3 linked regions of the Arabidopsis thaliana genome follow. The protein of the gene in region 1 interacts with the protein of each later gene in a pairwise test. Each region holds a gene or a part of one and is shown in the gene's direction. Other genes may lie near its edges.

Region 1 (7,322 bases):
GCCATACTTGATGAGGTTTTCACAAGTATGCGGGGAGATGTGAAGACAACCTTGGAGCATATCCAGTCCAAAGTTTCTGTCACTTTAAGTTTCTGGAATTCATATGAAAACATTTTTTATATGAGCGTAACGGGTCAATGGATAGATGAAAATTGGTCGTCTCATAGGTTGCTGCTCGACATATGTCGGATTCCTTATCCCTCTGGGGGTTCTGAGATTTATAACTCCCTTTTGAAAGTCCTTAAGACATATGCCATTGAAGACAGGATTCTATGTTGTACACATGACAACAGCGAAAACGCTATTCACGCTTGTCATAGCCTGAAGGAGTACTTTGATGGTCAAAAGGTCTTACCTTTCTGCTACATTCCCTGTGCCGCTCAAACTCTGAATGATATTATTGATGAGGGGTTAGCAACTATAAAGCCCATTATCTCTAAGGTTAGAGAATTCACACAAGAGTTAAACGCGTCCACAGAGCTATCTGATGATTTCATTCAGTTGACAACAGCTTATCAAGAAGGCAACTGGAAACTACCCATCGATGCTTCATCTCGTTGGAGTGGCAATTACCAGATGGTCAACATCTTGTGCAAGGTAAGATGTCTATAACTTTGACCTGTAAGCCATCAAGCTCTGAGATATTTATATGTGATGGCTTATATTGCTGCAGGCTAGCAAGTCCTTGGACTCGGTGATTAGGAAAAACGAGGATGCTCTAGAGAACAGAATGATGTTGAGTTCTGTAGAGAAGAACGCGGTGACTATTGTCCACAATTACTTGGATTTGGATTCATTTCACAAGACCACTAACGATATGTGCACGAACAAGGATCTCACGGTTGGTCTAGCACTGCTCTTCATGGATAACATATCCGAGATGATCACAACTTGCCAGAAATCATGCCACAACCCAGACTGGCTAAGAACTTGTGCTGAGAGCATGGCCCAGAAGGCCAGAAGTTACAACACTCAAGTGTGCAACGTATTCACTTACATTACAGCCATTCTTGACCCGCGGATCAAAACAGAGTACATTCCAGAGACGATTAATCTCGAGAGCTATATAGATGAAGCAAGAAGTCATTTCATTCGTAACTATTCTTCCTCTCATTTCACATCTTCAATGACTAGCGGGTATCGTCCTCAGGAGGTAGATGAAGGAGGAGGAAATATCTCATTTGCAGAGGAAATCGCTAGAAGGAAAAGAAGAGGAAGTATGAGTAACAATGTTGTTGATGAACTGACTCAGTACTTATCAGAGTCTATAGTTCCAATGCAGACTGATGTGCTTGATTGGTGGAAGGTAAACAGTGGAAGATACCCGCGACTTTCCAACATGGCTCGGGATTTCCTTGCGGTTCAGGCGACTTCTGCTGCACCGGAAGAGATCTTTTGTGGTAAAGGAGAAGAGATTGATAAGCAGAAGTATTGCATGCCTCATGATAGCACACAATCTGTTATTTGTATCAGATCATGGATTGAAGCTGGTATGAAACTGAAGTACAAGTGTAGTGAGATTGACTATGAACGACTAATGGAGTTAGCTGCCACCGTGGCCGCTGATAATTCTGCCGGAGGTTTAGAAAAAATTCAACAACATAGGTGAGATTATTTTTTAGTATTTGTACTAAAGAACTACTGTAATTTAGTTGTCATACTTTTAGCATGAATCATTGAATTTAGAGTTGGGTTGATGTAAACCAAGCTGGTTAGCTTTCTTCATAACCGTATGTACTTTCATATCATATTAGAGAGAAAAAAAAACACAATGTTGACTAATTAATGGGTTCTGTCTAACTAGAAAAGTGGAAATTAGTTGTACGAAAAAAGAAAATAGCTTATCTCTTTCTTTGTACCTTAGATTTTTCCTTGGTATAATGGATATCGATATGTCCAAGTCCAGTGTTTGAGTGACCAAGTTGTTGCTTTAATTTAATCTAGTTCAAATACGACTACTTTTGTGTTGTACCTCTCTACCTTACCTTCCTCGAATTTTCAATTCGTGTGCTAGTTTGCCAATTGTTTCTTTATAATTTTGTCGTCTCTATGATTGTTTAAGCATATTTAAATATTTGAGAGAAAAAAATACTAAGAGTTCAGTCGTATTTTGAAAAGTCCTCGCACTCCAAGTTTTAAAGTTGAATTCATTCTGTCATGGAAACGTACCTTTGTGGTTTTTCATTTCGATAGACATTTTTTAACTCTTCTGATAAATTCAAAATGTTTTTTTACATTGGTTAAAATTTGTTGCCAATTTCAATAAAGCTTTTTTTTTACTCGTTATAAAATTAAAAACTTGCTGAGAAATTATAGTTTCATATATACTTTGGACCGACGGTCAATACCAAAAAACTAAAATAAAATTTTGGTCAAGAATCGGGTCAATACAAAATATCTCCAAAGATCGAAGAGAAAGTTCAACAGGATTTTAATTTAATTGGTGTTCCGGACCTGCCGGCGCCGTATTATAATTCTTCAATAAATTTTATATTTTGGATTGCATAATCAAAACTATTTGCATAGCAGACATAGATTTCAAAATAAATTGATACGTAATTAGCTATTTACATAGGCAAGACAATTTTACGTTACATATTTTGCATGCTTGATATTCATTCTTTTTTTTTAGCAACCTTTGCTATATTCATTCTATTTTTTCCCCTTTTTTTGCTACTATCAATATCATATCAGATGTGGCGGTTCTTATGCATGGGATTATGAAAAATGATATTATATAATAGATGTCTTCGTAGTATTTTTTTATTGACAATCAAAATAAAATAAATTAGTTTAAGAAAGATCAAAAGTCTAGTGTCAAAATGTCCACTGACAAAAGTTAGCAGTTTTTCTTTTATGTAATAATCCGATTATAAAAAATTGCGTTAAGGAATCATAATGAGCCATGTGTCAGTCATATTTAAACGACGACGTTGGCAGCAGCCACACGTACAGCCTCAGGCAAGCATAAATAGAGATGGGCTCTTTCCTATAAGTTTCCCACTTTGCAAAGTGTAACACAAACAGTTCTCTTTAGAGAAAAAAAGATTCTCTCTATAAAACCTTCTCTTTGTGTCTCTCTTTGTGGTAAGAAAACAGAGCAACTAGATCTCTCTTCTCCTCTGCTCGTTCAATGTTATAACGATCTCGAGTATCACAAAAGAACAAGATGTCTATTCGAAGAATCTACCGATGTCTGAATTCTTTAATCAAAAGATCTTGTGCTCAATCTCTATGATCATACGCCCCATTTCACACTTTGTTTCACCTCTCAGTTTTTTTTTTTGTGTTTTTTTGTCCCTCTTTGTTTCACTTGAGAACAACCCCCTTTGAACTCGATCAAGAAAGCTAAGTTTGAAGAATCAAGAATGGTGCGGACACCGTGTTGCAAAGCTGAACTAGGGTTAAAGAAAGGAGCTTGGACTCCCGAGGAAGATCAGAAGCTTCTCTCTTACCTTAACCGCCACGGTGAAGGTGGATGGCGAACTCTCCCCGAAAAAGCTGGTATGTATTATTTTTTATTATGTTTATTCCGTCATGTTTGAATATTCAATGTTGGACCTTTATTGGTCATTATTGCTCAATTATTTTACTTAAATAATTCTTCTAATTGGATAGGACTCAAGAGATGCGGCAAAAGCTGCAGACTGAGATGGGCCAATTATCTTAGACCTGACATCAAAAGAGGAGAGTTCACTGAAGACGAAGAACGTTCAATCATCTCTCTTCACGCCCTTCACGGCAACAAGTTAGTCTCTCTACCTCTACATTTTATACTTATTTTTTGTTTGCATTAACATTTACTAATATTGTAATCTTATATGTGGTTTTAATCAGATGGTCTGCTATAGCTCGTGGACTACCAGGAAGAACCGATAACGAGATCAAGAACTACTGGAACACTCATATCAAAAAACGTTTGATCAAGAAAGGTATTGATCCAGTTACACACAAGGGCATAACCTCCGGTACCGACAAATCAGAAAACCTCCCGGAGAAACAAAATGTTAATCTGACAACTAGTGACCATGATCTTGATAATGACAAGGCGAAGAAGAACAACAAGAATTTTGGATTATCATCGGCTAGTTTCTTGAACAAAGTAGCTAATAGGTTCGGAAAGAGAATCAATCAGAGTGTTCTGTCTGAGATTATCGGAAGTGGAGGCCCACTTGCTTCTACTAGTCACACTACTAATACTACAACTACAAGTGTTTCCGTTGACTCTGAATCAGTTAAGTCAACGAGTTCTTCCTTCGCACCAACCTCGAATCTTCTCTGCCATGGGACCGTTGCAACAACACCAGTTTCATCGAACTTTGACGTTGATGGTAACGTTAATCTGACGTGTTCTTCGTCCACGTTCTCTGATTCCTCCGTTAACAATCCTCTAATGTACTGCGATAATTTCGTTGGTAATAACAACGTTGATGATGAGGATACTATCGGGTTCTCCACATTTCTGAATGATGAAGATTTCATGATGTTGGAGGAGTCTTGTGTTGAAAACACTGCGTTCATGAAAGAACTTACGAGGTTTCTTCACGAGGATGAAAACGACGTCGTTGATGTGACGCCGGTCTATGAACGTCAAGACTTGTTTGACGAAATTGATAACTATTTTGGATGAGTGAAACTCATAATCGATGAATCCCACGTGACCATGTCAATATGATGTCTATGGATATGTTACCTTGATGATGTTGATGGTAATAATAATAAATAATGATGGTGATGATGACCATGCATGAATCATGAATGTAGTTCGTGTTGTCACATATGCTTGTGTTTTTGTGTTTTTTTTTTTTGGTCTGAAGTGTGTTGTTTCGTTGTAAATGGATTATAAATGGTGATGTAATAATTATAATGTTAACGAGTTGTTAACTTTAGTACTTTTATTGTGTTGGTTATCAGAATTTGTATCCATCCGAATATGAGATTGCTTTATTTTGAAAAATCATTCATTAGCTGCTGCTGCTGCTAACTACTAGTACCATTGCTATTTTAAATTTTAATTGGCAGTATTCCACTATTAGGTCATCTTCATCTGTAAGATACTTTAAAAGGTTTTAAAATAAAATAAAAAATTACTGTAATTTAATTTTGTAATTATTTTTTTTTAAAAAAAATATTCAATTATAAGCAAACACTTATAGAAATAGTCTTTCACTGATTATTCCAAAATTTCTCAAGAAACGTTTCTTCATTTTTTGTCATTCTCTCTCCTCATTTATTAATTATTTATATTATCTTTATCAAAAGAAACTCTAAAAATTGTATGGATGGAGATGCTCTGGTTTATTTTATGAGTTAGGGCTAATAGATTGAGCAGATTGGTAAAGAAATATATCCTCAACCAGTTTTGTATATTAAAAAAAAAACCAACGATTAACTTATTTTGTGACTTAAATCTTTCATTCTCTAATGTATATAAAATTCACCCTATCAACATACGAATAATATTCAGCAATGAGACCCACATAAATTTAAAGCAAGCGAGAGGATCATTCTTTGAATGTTCCGAGGGTTAAAGATAAGAAGAAGTTGATACCAAAAAAAAAAAAAGGATAAGAAAAAGTGCATTATGATCCCTAACCTTTCGAAAGCACCATGAAGAAAACAAAAGCAAAAGCTGATTTGTGATTTGTTTCAATATTTTAATATTTCAAAAAAAGGGTGAATGAATTAATTTGCTTTTCAAAGATAGTGTTTTCTCTATATAAATAAAGTGATTAGAAAATAAAAATTATATTTCCAGGGACAGCCTATATCTTATTATCATGTCTGATTTAAAACTATAGGTAATGAAAAAAATATTACATCGTTGGCTTTTTGCCCAATTGTTGGTTTGTAAAAATAACAATTGTAATACCCGTATGAAAAATGAAAATTTTCTGAATATTTGGACTTCTGATCTTTTGGTGATTGTTAGAATTTAATTATCATACGTAGTTACAAAGAGTGGTAGTTAATTTCTGAATATATATTTACAATTTTCTTTTACCATCTATAAATTATATACACGTATATTATATTGAAATTCAGATTACAATACGCTAACAATGTTTGAATAAATCAATACTTCAATTCTATTTTTCTGCGTGAGGATGCCTACTAAGATAAAAGACATTTTGATGTTTATAGTCCAATATCATGATTTGAGCGTTGACGTATTCCCACGATACTATACATTTGTATTTCAGGTACGGTAATTAATTTGATCGTTTGTTTATTCAAGTTTATCTTCAGTAAAGTAACCCTTTTGGGAATAAGTGGGGGATTCCATGGATTCCATGGTATATTGCCATATTGGAGTCTTGGATTTACCCGAAAATTTTCGTGTTGACATTTTTGGAGATGCTACTTATTAGATTCTCCCATCTGTTCATCAACACTGTTAGCGCCGTCTTATCAGATTTTGTGTACGTGAGACGTGTTATGGAGATTCATCTAGATGACTAGATGTACATGTTGACAGGAACGAACGATTCTTACTTTTGGTCTTTTTGAACTCTTCAGATATATGTAAGTCGCTCGTTCTGCTAGGTGAAACATGAAAATTTAATCATTTTGATGGAAAATTGCTTTCAAAAACGAATATAAAGTAATTCATACACATTAATTTTTGTTATTCCACTCGCGAGGGTTGCTTCCACGAATCAATGAAAGATAAATCTATCGAATAAGTTGTTGTTTTCTAACAAATTATATAAACAAGTTGCAAGTATTTTATGATCATGTACACTATGCAATCAACCGGGCCATATCTAATTTTCTTTTTCTTTTCTTCCTTTAATTTCTTAACTTTTTGATCTGATAGTCGATTTAAAGAGGTTGATACAGTAGTTTGTGGATAAATATATTTAAAATAATTTCTAATATCATAAATAATGCATAAGCATGTGGGTCGTCACTAAGTCATTGCCGGTCTTTGCAGTTGGCACTCTGTGTAGTGGCCACATTCTTGTGCATGCATGCCTTTTGACATTTCAAAAGTCCCATGACGTAACGATATAAACAGTAGTATACCCAACCACATATATGTATTAATTTTTATTTTCAAGGTTGTGTCATCACTTTACATTTTTATGTTCAAAGTATACAGGCGAAAGAAATTATAAATAAAAAATTCTGATATATGTATGGTTGGAAAAATTTATGCTCTCTAGTTCAATTAAGGTTCAATATTTATATTTTTTGACACCGTATTTTAACAAGAGAAAACATCCCATATAATTAACTATCAAAATTTATAATTAAGAGAATTATAGAATGACTCGTTAACGGGAAAAAGTGAGAGACCATCTATTTAAAAGATCAAG
Region 2 (7,022 bases), on another chromosome or scaffold:
TAACACCAGCAAGAGCTGAGCACATCAAGCAATACAAGTGCCCTTCTTGCAGCAACAAAAGGGCTCGTTCCTAAATTTGTTGACCGCTCGCTTCTGTGTATCTACCTTTGCATATGATGATGAACAGCTTAACTGTTTGGTTTAGATCAGATTTGTCATATGGATTTGGTAATTTAGGAAGACATTTTAGTTTTTTCATTGTTACATTTTGGCGATTGAAGGGATAACTCTTTGTTTAGGGGTAATGATCTTTTGCTCTGTTTTATGTTTGTTTATTAACATTCTTCAAACTCAATCAAAAGTATTTTGGTTAGTCTTAACACAACAAGGTTTTATCAATATATCATTTCTGCTTCTTTGTTGCTAGGCGCTTCAAGAACTCGTAGGTTGTGATCATCGTTGTTGCGGACATCGACATTGAGACCCATCTTGGTCCTAATCCTCTGTAACAAGCACCAACTCCTCCTTCCTTCATCAAGCTCTTCACTGACTGCATCACTGTCATTGCTCGTCTCCTCCCGTTCTCTTCTGCGTCTAAGACTTGCAACCGCGTCTTGATTGTGTCTACTGGCATAGTTACTAAAGCCGAGCAACCGCTTGCTGTAGCTGCACTCAACGCTTGAACCACCACTGAGCCACCAGCATCTTCCTTGTGGTTGTAGGAGTGCTTGTATCGAGACCAAATTGATTTTTGAGCCAAAGAATAAGACGCCCACCAAACCGCGTTGGAAGGTGCGTAAGTCAAGATCGAGATCCCAAATCCTCTGTAGAACCCTCTTGGTCCATCTGTGTAAAGAATCTTTCTAAAAGCATCAAACCCATTTCTGTATCTGCAAGAGTTCATCACTCCAGGAAGATGCTTACTCAAGGAGACATCGCCTTGAACCATAAGCCCTTGACTCACAATATCAATCGGAGTCCAGACAGTCTGGGCAGCCACAGCCGAGGTCAAACCAGCTGCACCATTAGCAACAGCCAAAGACGTAGTATCAGACAATCCTAACCTAACAGTTGCTTGACCTACACTACTCTTTGTAATCTCTAGAGCAGTCATATAGAGAGCACGAGCCGGGATGGTTCCAAGCAAAGATGTTCCAAAACCCTTGTAAAACCCTTTAAGACCTTCAAGTCTAGCAATAGCCAGAGAAATGTTGGCACATGAGACACGAGTCGGAGAGACTTGTTGCCTTGTTTTGAGAACTACAATAGGGTAAAGAGCAGTGGATACACCGGAGAAAAGAGCAGCACCGAGGAAGAAAAACCTCGATTTATCAAGCATTTGCCAATCTATATCATTTGACATATGTACCTGAGAAGAAGAAGATGAAGTTGTTGCTCTTCTCTTCTCTTCCATCAAAGCACCTAAACTCATTTTGAGCTAATCTTACCTTAAAAACCAAATCAAGATTCCAACTTTAGAGAGTTTTGACCTGAGTAAGAGATGAGAATAGAGTGTATGATTGAATTGTGATCAAAGAGAGAAAATCTCTGTGGATTTATTAGCTTCAAAATCTATGAACTCGTGTATTAATATTATTATAGTGAATATAGAGTCAGAGCCAAAACGATGGGTCGTGTGGATAACATAAAAGGAGCGGCCTTTAACGGACTCAAGAGGTGTGTGAGGAGGAGTAATGGGACTGGGCACGTGGCAAGTGTTGGTTGGTTTATGTTAGAGAAACTCACAGTTTTTAAGGTTACATGAGGCTGAGAAGAGAGTGGCTTCTGTCGGAATCGCCACTTGTTTCATCCTTCTGTGGATTATATTTATTATTTTATTTTATTTTTACTGATTTCTGTAGGTTTTGCATTTGATTATTTTGTGATATAATGTATTTATCAATAACTGTTTTAGTTACATTTTAAATAAAATTAGATGCATATGTATAATAGTATGGATAACAGAGCCTATTTATAGAATTTCTTACATTTTATGGAAATAAATAACTTTTTTAAAAGGTCCAAGAAATAGTCTAGATTGCAAATGCAAGTTTTCGATTGTAAATGAAAGTTTATTGATTTTAGATGATAAGTAAAGTGTTAAGTGTATAGTGTTTTGACAAACAGAATAATACTAAATCTTGTGATCTATGTGCTCTCTATACTAGTAGTCTAGTACTTAATATAATTGTCTTTATGTTTATTTTTGTCAATCTTCTCGGTTCTTATGATCAAATGCTTGTTTATCATTGTTAAATCGTTTGATTGCATGTAATTTCGTTTGATTTTTCTTAGGATAAAGTAGAAAAATCATTTCAAACTGATTTCCATAATCTCACAATTTACGAGAGTCAGCCGTTGATTCCTCATATGTCTCGTCAATTTTAACTGAAAAGCCTCGAATTCAAGGGGCCATAAATCTCACTTTTTATGAGAGACCTAACTCGTCACTGCACCAAATGCTGCTTGGTTTCCATGTCACTTTAAATGTTGTGGAGCATAAATTTAATGAGTTTAAAGGATTTAGATATAAATATTAACTGTTTTTGGTATATGTGTTGACTGTTGTGTTTAGTTGTATAGTTCTGGTGTACATGTTCAGCATTCTTGACTACACTAACACTTCTCATACCAGACTAGTTCAAATCTAGCCAAAACCGATCTCACTATTTTACTGGATGAAAGTAGCTTTTAAATATCCGTTCAAATGATTTAAACTATTTTTTTTTTTTTATATACTCTATCGGCTGATCTGGTAAACAAGGGGTTAGTCAAGCCGCCTGTATTTCTAAATACTAGATAAATTAATTAGGTTAAGACCCAATTGTCAAACTTTCCAAACAAATGTAATTTTGTTTCAAAAGAAAATGGAACTTAGGTACGAAGGTTTCACCCTTCATCAAAGCTTGCGCCACTAGACCACAGAGGCTTGGACAGTATAATACTATTTTGACTGGCCAAGTAGAAGTGAAAGAATTCTCAGTAAAAATCGAATATAAGGGAGGAATGGATTGACACCATATCCCCAATTTTTTACCACTGGGTCACTACTTTTGACGTTATTGTTAACACAATACATAAACATCATTTTTTTTTGGACATCACTTAAATTGTCTCTCTAAATAAGACACACGTTTATAAGCAATTTCATATATTTTCCTCACCTTTTTGATTCCTTATAGAAAAGTAGCAAAGAAACGTGCCCCAGCTAATATTCGGACATAACTTAATTCAAAACAAAGCAATAGTTTTTTGTAAGTGTTCTCTTTCGTTTACTTTATAAGAAAGGTTTTTGTTACAATGATCTAGACGAAAGGAATCATTTGCTCCTTAAGATACATCATACACAATAATATAAAAATATATATACACATATTATGTAAATTCAATACAATCAAAACATGGGAGAGATAGACAAAATCCGTGACGGGTTTCTTGGTGCAGTTAAATTGGCAGTTCATCGTCATTTTTTGTTCCCTACAAACATTTCCTCTAAATGCAGAGTGTGTTCCATAGAGAGACTTGAACCCACCAAAGTCTTGACTTGTAATCAATGCGAGTTTTCTCTTCATGAAGACTGCATTGAGATCACCAGCCCTTCTCATCATAAGCATCCTCTTAAGCTGCATGAACGTATCATAGGTTACCGTAGACGGGACCAATGTTGTCTTTGTAGATACAAGTTATTGGATATGTTCTACAATTGTTCACGTTGTATGTTCGAGGTGTGTATGGCTTGTCTGAAGAGGCCATTACTTATCTACAAGACAACATCCCACAAGCACCCGCTTTCCCTTATGCCCATCGATTCTGTCTCCTTCACTTGCGATGCTTGCGGCTCTGTAGATAATTCCTCATATCCTTGCACATGTCTTCAATGTTGCTTCATCATTCATAGAGATTGCATTGATTTACCTAGTGTTATAAGTATTAATCGTCATGATCACCGTATTTCTCATGTCGATATTCTTAGACCGGAGGAGTGGATATGCGGAGTTTGCCATAAAATTATCAATAACCAATATGGAGCGTATTCTTGCTCGGTTTGTCATTATGCAGTCCATTCCAAGTGCGCAATAAGGGATGATGTATGGGATGGGAAAGAACTTGATGGAATACCTGAAGAAGAGGGAGATAACAAAACCGAGGATATAACGCCATTTGAGGTGATTGATGACAAAGTTATAAAACACTTTAGTCATGAACATATATTAAGATTTATTTATCAAGATGTTCTTATTCGCGACGAAAACCAAAGATGCTACGCATGCGTTCTTCCATTCTACTACGATGCATGCTATATATGCACGCATTGTGATTTCATTCTTCATGAAACATGCGCTAATCTTCCGCGGACAAAAAGGCATGAGTTACACAAGAATCACTTTACTCTTTACCCGAATCCTAAACCTGGAGAAGATCTCGAGCTTTCCAAAAGCTTTTTCACATGTGTTGCTTGTCAAAGACCAAGCAACGGGTTTAGGTACGAGAGCGGAAATGTAAAGTTGGATGTTCGTTGTGCTACAATCTCAGACGAGTTTAACCATGATAGTCATTTGCATTCCTTATTTATCCTCTCACTTTTTCCTCGGGAGTGCTCGGCGTGTGACCAAATGGTGTACGGCTCACTGAGTTGTGTTAAACTTGATTTCTTTTTGTGCTTCAAATGTGCTACTTTACCAAAAGAGGTCTTCAACAAGAACGACAAACATCCTCTCTATCTACGATACAGTGGATATCGCTACGGTAATTATTGGTGTGAGATATGCGAAAAACCAACCGATCCAAGGAAGTGGTTTTACTCATGTGACAAATGTTGTTCGACTCTTCATATCGACTGCGTACTCGGTAAATCACCTTACATGAGGCCAGGGCACAGTTTTCTTTTATGTAGTCGTGAGTTCCAAGTGGTTTCCAATAACCATACATCTCGACCGTTTTGTACTATATGTTCGTTGCGATGCAAAGATGCTTTTGTTCTGAAGAGCAAGGATGAGACTGATACATCATGCCTATGTTCTCTTAAATGTCTCGATTCTCTTGTGATGAGTATGCAACGTATTAAACTGTAATCTAAATAATAATGTTGTGGCAAAGATCACATTAATTACTTTCATAGTTGTGTCTTAATAAGTTCAATGCTATTTTTTTTATATAAATCTCACTACGTTCAGTGGTTAGTCTAAATCTGTGATCTATGCTTAATAATTGCCTTTATTTTTATATATATCAAATGTACAATCTCTATGATCCAATGCTTATTTTTCACCATTCAGACATTTTTTGTAAAAAGATTAACCAGATATCGCAAATACTGTTTCAGACCATTCATAGGACACAAATCTTCCACGCTTCGTCGTTTATGTACCTGCAAGGGAACATACGTTACGAATACAAAGCATTTCCTAATCAATCTATATAAACTTCAAAGACCTAACGCACAGATACAATACAACATATCATTTTAGGACTAAAGACATAACAGAAAGGCAAACAACGAATATATCTTGGTGTGGACAGGTTAGGCTCAACACCACCATTTTCCTCGAAGACATACTAGAACGAATTCCCGGAGGAACATGAAAAGGCAGACCGCAGCAATCCCTCAAGAGCATATGTCAGCAATGCCTATGTTATAAGTACCCGAGCGCCTACACTTTTGTGGTGGGTATGCCAGAGTTTGAAGGAGAAGATGTCAGAGTAGAGATTGAGAATGAGAAGGTGCTTATGGTGAGCGGAGAGAAGCAGAGGGAAGCTAAGAGGAGAACGTGTGGACTGAGAGGATGTGGGAGATAGTGAGGAAGTTAAATTTACCGAAGTAATGAGCACCGAACATAGACAATATGTTGAGGGGTGACCGTTGAGAAGCTTCCTTCTCCCGAGCCTAAGAAACCAAAAACCATTCAGGCTCAAGTCGCTTGAGCTTATTATCTCTCTTTGTGTGTTCTGTTTTGATGAAAAAACCATAATGTTGTGTACTGCAATTTGTAATGTGATAAAAAGTTAAAGAGGTTCTGATTTTACCTTACGATGTTCCTTTCATGCCTTTGTTGCAAAATTTTGACGACAACATGAAGATCAAAGGCATAAACAAAATTGAAAATTCAACAACCATTACGTGATAACAGGAACCTAGTCTTGAGCCTGTGCAAGGTCCCACTCCAAGCTCTGAACATTTTGGGACAAAGATAGGGATGTAACTGCATGGTTCTTTCTTTGGGTCTTCGTCTACACACTCTATCGGGAAGTTCAGACGATTTTGGGTTATCGAGTTTGTTTGCCCTGACGAATAAAGCGATGAAGAACCCTTCTTTGTCCTCCACCGGATCCATCCTAAGTAGATGTTCAGCTGCAAGCCAAAGCCAACATGATCAAAAGGTTAGAAACAGAGTCAATCAGGTGAAACCCGATGGTAAGGGTGATACTTACATCCTGCAAATACAGGGAGACCACGACGCTGCCACTGAGGAAAGGGGGTAGCAAGTTTGAAGCCCAAGGATGATGCCAGAGGTAAAACAGAGGAGACGACATCTTCGTTTTCTATTTGGTAGATGGAGCATGTGCTGTATACGACTCTCTCAACCTTTGGAACTAATTAAAACATATAAGTTTTTAGTTCTCATTCATATCTACATATAGAGTAAGATTCTCTTAGTGTATATATGGTTTATGCATTCATAGAGGGGAAATTTAACATGGATCAACGTGTTTGGGAGATTCTTCAAAAGCTAAGTAAAACCCTCATTTTTTGTTTTAGCTAACATGAGACAAGTATATAAACTTACAGGAGAGTGCATGGGCAAGAGCCTTTTTCTGGAAAACAGCGAGCTTGTGCAGTCTCATGGAGTCATAGTTCATGTTATTATCTACATGGAAAGGTGTGTTAAGGTTCAGTCACTTCGTAACATAACACACACACACAGAAGATCAGCTAATACCTTCTGAATGAGAAGGAAGGAGATGGTCCAAACGATCTGTAATCGTGCCAGAGCCAGAGCAAGAAGGATCCAACAATATAGCCCGAATCTGCAATAGTCAGCCACACCCAAGCATCAAGAATAACTCAAATGACTATATCTGCT
Region 3 (7,671 bases), on another chromosome or scaffold:
ATATTTGGCTCTCTCTCTTGCAGGTTGAGGTTGAAGATGATCCAACTGAAACAAAAAAAGATGACCAAGATGACCAAACTGAGGTATATATACCTGCGTCTCTTTACCTGTTCTAAGAAATACCTTGATCAGCTTCTGGAAATATCTTAATCAGCATCAGAAGATAGCTAGATGTGTAAGAAAAGTTGGCTTAGGGTTGGGGACTATTTTTCTTGTAACAGAAAAAGAAGAAGACCAAGAAGGTTGTTGAGAGATACTGGGATTGGGAGCTTACAAATGAGACACAACCGATTTGGGTAAGGACTTGTCAATGTATCTTGAGTGCACTCTGAATCAATTTAACAGTGTATTTTATTTATTGCAGCTGCGTAACCCTAAGGAGGTGACAACAGCAGAATACAATGAGTTTTACAGAAAAGCTTTCAATGAGTATTTGGACCCATTGGCTTCATCCCATTTCACGACAGAGGTATTTTCAAAGGAACACATTTATTGAATTGGATATTTCCATTAAACAGCCGAATTAGATCGTCTTTGTTAGACGATCCACTGAAATATAATGCTCTTTGATTCTCTTGTTGGCAATGCTCAGGGCGAAGTCGAGTTTAGGTCTATCCTATATGTGCCACCTGTTTCACCATCGGGGAAGGATGACATAGTCAATCAAAAGACAAAGAACATAAGGCTCTATGTTAAACGAGTTTTCATTTCAGATGACTTTGATGGGGAGCTGGTGAGAAAAGTTTCTTTTGGTGTGGTTCAAATTTCTTTCAAGAAACCTCTGTCTTTCTAATTATATTGATATCATTTTTGTGGTGTTTGTGGCCAGTTTCCTCGGTACTTGAGCTTTGTTAAAGGTGTTGTGGACTCGCATGATCTCCCACTTAATGTATCACGTGAGATTCTTCAAGAAAGTCGCATAGTAAGCGCTCATATCCAATTCGTATGCAAAGCCTTTATGATATATGTTTTGTTTTAAGTGCAATGCTATGTTAAGCTTACGATTTTGTATTGTGTCTCCAAGGTGCGGATCATGAAGAAACGTCTAGTGAGGAAGGCTTTTGATATGATTTTGGGTATATCCTTGAGTGAAAACAGAGAAGTATGTTTCATAACTCTTGTTCCCCTAAGCTTACAGTTTAACCTTTTTTAATTCCCTTTAGAAATCACTGCTACGTTCTGGTGATGATTTTCCTGACGAATGAGAATGGCATTGTTAACCTATACAGGACTATGAGAAGTTTTGGGATAATTTTGGCAAACACTTGAAATTAGGGTGCATCGAAGACCGTGAAAACCACAAGCGTATAGCTCCACTGCTTCGATTTTTCTCCTCCCAGAGTGAGAATGACATGATCAGCTTGGATGAGTATGTTGAGAACATGAAACCTGAACAGAAAGCCATATACTTCATTGCTTCTGACAGCATTACAAGTGCTAAGAATGCACCTTTCCTCGAAAAGATGCTGGAGAAAGGACTTGAAGTATGTGTTGTTCTTCTGAATGGGGCCTCGTTTTGTTCTTCCTTGCAAATATTCCTATTAACTCAGAGGTGATTGACATGTATTTCTTTGTATTGTGAACGTAGGTACTATATTTGGTAGAGCCTATTGATGAAGTTGCCGTACAGAGTTTAAAAGCTTATAAGGAGAAGGATTTTGTAGATATCAGCAAGGAAGACTTGGATCTAGGCAAGTGCCTGATGTAATTCCTTGATTTAGCATGTCAGGTAATCACTTATGTATAATAACAAATTCTGGCTTTGATCTTTGTATTGACAGGAGACAAGAACGAGGAGAAAGAGGCAGCAGTGAAAAAAGAGTTTGGACAGACTTGTGACTGGATAAAGAAACGATTGGGTGACAAGGTTGCCAGTGTTCAAATTTCCAACCGTCTTAGTTCTTCCCCCTGTGTTCTTGTATCTGGTAAATTTGGTTGGTCAGCCAATATGGAGAGGTAAGATCTGACCTTTTTCTTAAGCAAGGATTTCCGTTCTCCTTTTTTGCCCCTGGTGAACTAACACAGAATATGTTATCTGGACAGGCTAATGAAGGCACAATCAACTGGTGACACAATAAGCCTCGACTACATGAAAGGGAGAAGAGTGTTTGAGATCAATCCCGACCACTCAATTATCAAGAACATAAATGTGAAGTCACCATTCATCATAACTTGTACCTGGCTATTATAATTAAATCTAGGAGCCGCTTTTTGAGCTTGGCTTGTTTTTTTCTTGCACCCTGCAGGCTGCTTACAATAGTAACCCAAATGACGAAGATGCAATGAGAGCCATAGATCTTATGTATGACGCAGCACTAGTTTCTAGTGGGTTCACGGTGAGTCCTATTCTACATTAACATTCTTAACTTTTTGTTGTCTCTAGAATTGAAATAAAGTAAATACTGGTAAAACTTAATTGTTGTTTCTCAAAACTACAGCCCGATAATCCAGCAGAGCTGGGTGGGAAGATATATGAGATGATGGATGTAGCTCTTTCCGGGAAATGGTCAAGCCCTGAGGTGCAGCCGCAGCAACAGCAGATGGCACATTCTCACGATGCAGAGACGTTTGAAGCTGAAGTGGTTGAACCAGTCGAAGTGGATGGGAAGAAATGAACACAAGCCTAATGTTTTATGTCCCTGCTACGATTCTCATCATATTCTTCTTCTTTTATTAGTAGTAGCAGTAAAAGTAGAACCCCAAAACTCAGAACAATAGGCAATGAGCGAATGATAATCTCTATTTATGTTGGAGAGATTAATAATTGATTGAGCTTGTTTTTGTTCCAGTTTGTGTTGATCCTCCTCGGTATAATTTTAATAACCGTTAAGAAAAATTCAGTTGGGGTGTTTTTGGAAAGATTTTTCGAGTTTTATCTAACAAAACTAAAATTTTGGGACATATGGTAATTTTTAATTAAATAGAGGGATGTTGTTATCGTACGAATTGGGTTGGTTTAAAACTTTGTTTGGACAGATTCGACTCAAACGTTGAACGCGTTTAAAAAAGTCAACAAAAGTCGAAGGTTACCGGCTGGTCAGGTTAACCGTTAGAGATTAATGAACTGGCAGCTGTATGTCTTTTTTATAGTTCTGTCTTAACAGGCAAAAAAGTGTTTAATTTATCTTTCCTTTGGGTTTCTCACGGAGTCACGGTTCCTCGTTCGTCCTCTCCCGTCGTCTCTCCGGTGAGTCCTTAATTTTCCGGCGGTCTTTTTCCCTTTCTCGTCTGTTTGGTGCTTTCTTTATGTCTGAGGCGAATACAGCAAAACGTATCTGTTTTGGTTGTTGAGTTCGAGGCTGGTCCTGAAAATTCGGTGACAAAAAGAGTCAATAACTCTCGTGATCGAGTTGGATGCGTTGTTTTGAGGGTTGATTCAGTTTATGACTATGTATTTTGGTACTTGCAAGATTTTCTGATTTTATGAAGATTCGTGTTTGACTTTTATAGCGTATAATCTACGGGGCAAACAGATTCGAGCAACTTGTTTTTTTCTAGCGCTTGTTTTGTGTTTACTCTGTCATGTGTTTGTATTTTTTGAGCTTCCACTAGTGATTAATCATCTCAGCTCAATTTGAACATAGGAGATGTAGTTTTTATCTGTCGGTGGATTTCTAGGGATTTTGCAAAATGTTTTGGGCTTTCCTGAATTAGTATGTGATTTGGTCGTAAAGTATTTTAGGGATTTATGTGTTCCTTGGGGTGAATCTGACATTGACATTATCTTGGTGTCTGCAGCACTAAATTGATGGGCACATCATCTGGGTCCAATCTTCCTCACCAGATGCTACCTCCACGTCAGCAACTACAAACATCTCTTTCGCTTGTATCTTCAGATCCCCACTTGTCACGGTCTAATTCTGGCATTGTGCGTGAATCACCAGCTGAAAGTGCTAGCTCTCAAGAAACTTGGCCAACCTCAAAATCTATTATGGGAAGGAAGACAGATAGCGGAAAGACAGGGCCTGACTCTCATGATCAACATGTGATCCGCCATGTTTCCATTGCTGATAAGGTATCGCTACGGGACATAGCTAGAGAGAGACTTGACATAGTCGCTGAGAGAATGCATCGATTACCAGAAGAATATCTCGAGGAGTTAAAGAATGGTCTTAAGGCTATCCTTGAAGGAAATGGTGCGCAGCCTATAGATGAGTTTATGTTTCTGCAGAAGTTTGTCCAGACGAGATCTGATTTAACTTCAAAGACACTTGTCAGGGCTCACCGAGTGCAGCTTGAAGTTCTTGTGGTTATAAACACTGGTATCCAAGCATTCTTGCACCCAAACATCAATCTCTCTCAGTCATCACTCATCGAGATCTTTGTGTACAAGAGATGCAGAAACATAGCTTGCCAAAACGAACTCCCGGCTGATGGTTGTCCCTGTGAGATATGCGCTAATAGGAAAGGCTTCTGCAACCTGTGCATGTGTGTGATATGTAACAAGTTTGACTTTGCAGTCAACACATGCCGCTGGATTGGCTGCGACGTGTGTTCTCATTGGACTCATACGGATTGTGCTATTAGGGATGGGGAGATTTCGATGGGAGTTTCTCCCAAGAGCGTATCTGGGATGGGAGAAATGCTGTTCAAGTGTCGAGCGTGCAACCATACTTCTGAATTGCTGGGGTGGGTGAAAGATGTGTTTCAGCACTGTGCACCAAACTGGGATAGGGAATCTTTAATGAAGGAACTTGACTTCGTTAGTAGGATTTTCCGTGGAAGCGAAGATACAAGAGGCCGGAAACTCTTCTGGAAGTGTGAGGAGCTTATGGAGAAGATTAAAGGTGGACTGGCTGAAGCAACAGCGGCCAAGTTGATACTCATGTTTTTCCAAGGTAAGCCCACTCGCTATTGTTATATGATAAGGGTTTACTCTTTATAGACCTAACCATGTTTTGTGTATGAAGAAATTGAATTGGACTCTCCAAAGAGCCTTGAAAGCGGAGAAGGTGGGGGTACGATAGCACCTCAAGATGCATGCAACCGAATTGCTGAAGTTGTAAAGGAAACACTGAGGAAAATGGAGATAGTGGGTGAGGAAAAGACGAGGATGTACAAGAAAGCGCGAATGGGGCTTGAGGAATGCGAGAGAGAGGTAGAAGAGAAAGCAAAGCAAGTGGCGGAACTGCAGATGGAGAGGCAGAAGAAGAAACAACAGATAGAAGAGGTGGAGAGGATAGTGAGGCTGAAGCAAGCAGAGGCAGAGATGTTTCAGTTAAAAGCAAACGAGGCAAAAGTGGAAGCAGAGAGATTGGAAAGGATTGTGAAAGCGAAAAAGGAGAAAACAGAAGAGGAATACGCAAGTAACTATTTGAAACTGAGGCTGAGCGAGGCGGAGGCAGAGAAAGAGTATCTGTTTGAAAAGATAAAAGAGCAGGAAAGTGGTGGGAATGGTGGTGAAGCGTCACAAGCAGTGATGTACTCAAAGATCAGAGAAATGCTGCATGGATACAATGCATCGTCGCCAAGGGTAGATCCAAGATCAAACCAGCGAAATCCTTTCAGATCCAATCCTTAGATGTTTGTATTGTCTCTCTTTGTTTGTATTAAAAAAAAAATCCGAATCAATTAAGGTTGGATTTGTGTGTGAAGTATTGTGGTCTTTGTATTCAAATTTTGCACATGATCGTCTATGTTGGGCCATAATGTTATGCAAGCTTTGACACAGAGTGTTGCCAAAATCTCGATACTTATTCACTCGGATTTAGAGAATTGTGGATTTCGCTAATGGAGGGAGATCCATGTTACCTTAAATAGTTTATATTTGAGCCAACATGAGAGCCAAAGAACATCGCCACCGACTTTAAAAAGAAAATATTTTGCCCAAATGGATATTACAGAGTAGTTATTTGCAATAACGTCCTCATGTTTGGGTTATAATAACGATTTGATTTCTTACGGGGTATAAAGCAAAAGGAATCAAAACGTTTGGGGAAATAATGTAATATTCTGGAAACAAAACGCGTATAATCGGATTGATAAGGAATATTATATCATCGCCGATGCAATCATCGACCATCGTTTTGTTTTCCTGTCTACCCAAAAACAAACCCTAGTGTCCGAATTCTCGACAAAATTCATCGGCTCCAAATTCCATTCGTGCTTTTTGAATTCGCGTTCTTCTGATTCAAGATGTTTCTTTCACCTGGTCATTCTCCTCGTCAGATTTCTTCTCCATCGCCGTCTTCTTATTCCGATGATACCCTCCGATCAACGCCTCGCAGTTCTTCCTCGGAGATCATTCCTCGAAACCCTAGAAAACGGATGAGAGTTCTCGATGAGGACGCTTATGTTGAAGCAATCGAGAAGATCATCGAGCGTGATTACTTTCCAGATATAACTAAGCTTAGGGATCGGCTCGATTGGATCCAAGCGGTGAAAACCCGTGACCCGATTCAAATCCGAGATGCCCAGTTGAAGATTATCGAGAGGCGTGGAAAGAAGGCGAATCATCATGTTGGAGATACCGAGGGTAAAACTCAAACTCCTGGATCTACTTTTCTGAGAAATTTCACTCCTTTAGATGAATTTGATGGTAAAACCCCTAGAACTCCTGGAGTATCTGGTAGAGAATTTCATGGTGTTGAAGTAGATGCTGGTGATGGAGATGAAGATATAGATCTTAATTTGTCCCTAGATGAGTTCTTTAGGAGATATACTAGTGAGGATAACGAGAGCTTTTCGAAGATTCTTGAGAAGGTAAATAGGAAGAAGAAGGAGAAGTATGGCTTTCTCCTTGAAGGTGAAAAGGAGGATGGTAAATCTATTGAGGATGTGAAGAGAGATAGGATTACAGATGGGTATGGTACATCTGATCAGCCACCGAGTACTTTAGAAGGATGGAAATATACGGCGAAGAATCTTCTGATGTACCATCCAGCTGATCGGGGTGAGGCGCCTTTAACTGAGGCGGAAAGGGCAGTGAGATTACTTGGATTGACTAAGGAGATAGTTAAAGGGAACACTCGTTTTCATGGTAAGACTATGGATTCTAGGCCAAGAGAAGATGGTTCTGTTGAGATTCTCTACACTCCAATCGCAGGTTCTTCCCCGATGCATATCTCAGGTAGGGACAGAGACAAGTCTAAAAGGTATGATCTTGATGATCTAAGGAAAACACCGAATCCTTTCTATGTGGAATCAGATAAGAGGGCAGACAATGGGTATAGTTTTGTTAGAACGCCTTCTCCTGCTCCAGGTCTTGATGAATCACCCTTTATAACATGGGGTGAGATTGATGGGACACCAATGCGATTAGATCTTGAGGATACACCTATTGATATTGGTGGTAGTGCTGATGGACCGCACTATAACATTCCATCTGCACCTCCTAGAGATGTAAGGGCACATTCATTATCAAGGGATGCATCGCGAAAACTTAGAGAGAGATCGAATAGTATGTTTAAGAAACCTCCGTTGCCATCTCCTCATCGAAGTGGAAGTGCAAGTCCGAATGTTAGGACTCTTTCACCCGCTGCTCAGAAGTTTTTCAGAAAGGCAATAGCTAAATCATCTTCTACTGTTGATGAGAGCCTTCGTGCAAGTTATCGTGGAGCAAGTCCTCGTGGAGCAAGTCCTGGTGCTGTGACTCCTAAGAGTGTGAGAAGTATTTCAAGATTTGGCAAAGATGGGACCAGCTCAGAGACAAGGTCGCCTTGATGGTGCCAA

Evidence for each region. The genes of interacting proteins can lie anywhere in the genome.
Region 2: the proteins of MYB51 (region 1) and AT5G26190 interact in a two-hybrid assay, tested with the Arabidopsis thaliana proteins (one study listed by BioGRID).
Region 3: the proteins of MYB51 (region 1) and OBE1 interact in a two-hybrid assay, tested with the Arabidopsis thaliana proteins (one study listed by BioGRID).

The regions. Positions count from the first base shown.
Region 1 is NC_003070.9:6,386,397-6,393,718, forward strand, and holds MYB51 (myb domain protein 51), read left to right. Parts: upstream 1-3,002; 5' UTR 3,003-3,368; coding exon 3,369-3,504; intron 3,505-3,618; coding exon 3,619-3,748; intron 3,749-3,837; coding exon 3,838-4,630; 3' UTR 4,631-4,990; downstream 4,991-7,322. Other genes in the region: AT1G18560 (BED zinc finger and hAT dimerization domain-containing protein), read left to right, coding at 1-597, 674-1,609. UniProt on the Arabidopsis thaliana protein: Transcription factor positively regulating indolic glucosinolate biosynthetic pathway genes.
Region 2 is NC_003076.8:9,151,618-9,158,639, reverse strand, and holds AT5G26190 (Cysteine/Histidine-rich C1 domain family protein), read left to right. Parts: upstream 1-3,340; 5' UTR 3,341-3,341; coding exon 3,342-5,012; 3' UTR 5,013-5,122; downstream 5,123-7,022. Other genes in the region: AL4 (alfin-like 4), read left to right, coding at 1-74; AT5G26200 (Mitochondrial substrate carrier family protein), read right to left, coding at 344-1,372; AT5G26180 (S-adenosyl-L-methionine-dependent methyltransferases superfamily protein), read right to left, coding at 6,045-6,289, 6,370-6,531, 6,726-6,806, 6,879-6,966.
Region 3 is NC_003074.8:2,481,356-2,489,026, forward strand, and holds OBE1 (potyvirus VPg interacting protein (DUF1423)), read left to right. Parts: upstream 1-3,098; 5' UTR 3,099-3,630; coding exon 3,631-3,653; intron 3,654-3,738; coding exon 3,739-4,838; intron 4,839-4,910; coding exon 4,911-5,521; 3' UTR 5,522-5,771; downstream 5,772-7,671. Other genes in the region: Hsp89.1 (HEAT SHOCK PROTEIN 89.1), read left to right, coding at 24-83, 222-296, 365-469, 593-733, 830-922, 1,025-1,102, 1,230-1,484, 1,589-1,691 and 4 more; AT3G07790 (DGCR14-like protein), read left to right, coding at 6,136-7,662. UniProt on the Arabidopsis thaliana protein: Probable transcription factor that acts together with OBE2 for the maintenance and/or establishment of both the shoot and root meristems, probably by controlling the expression of the meristem genes such as WUS, PLT1 and PLT2 and of genes required for auxin responses.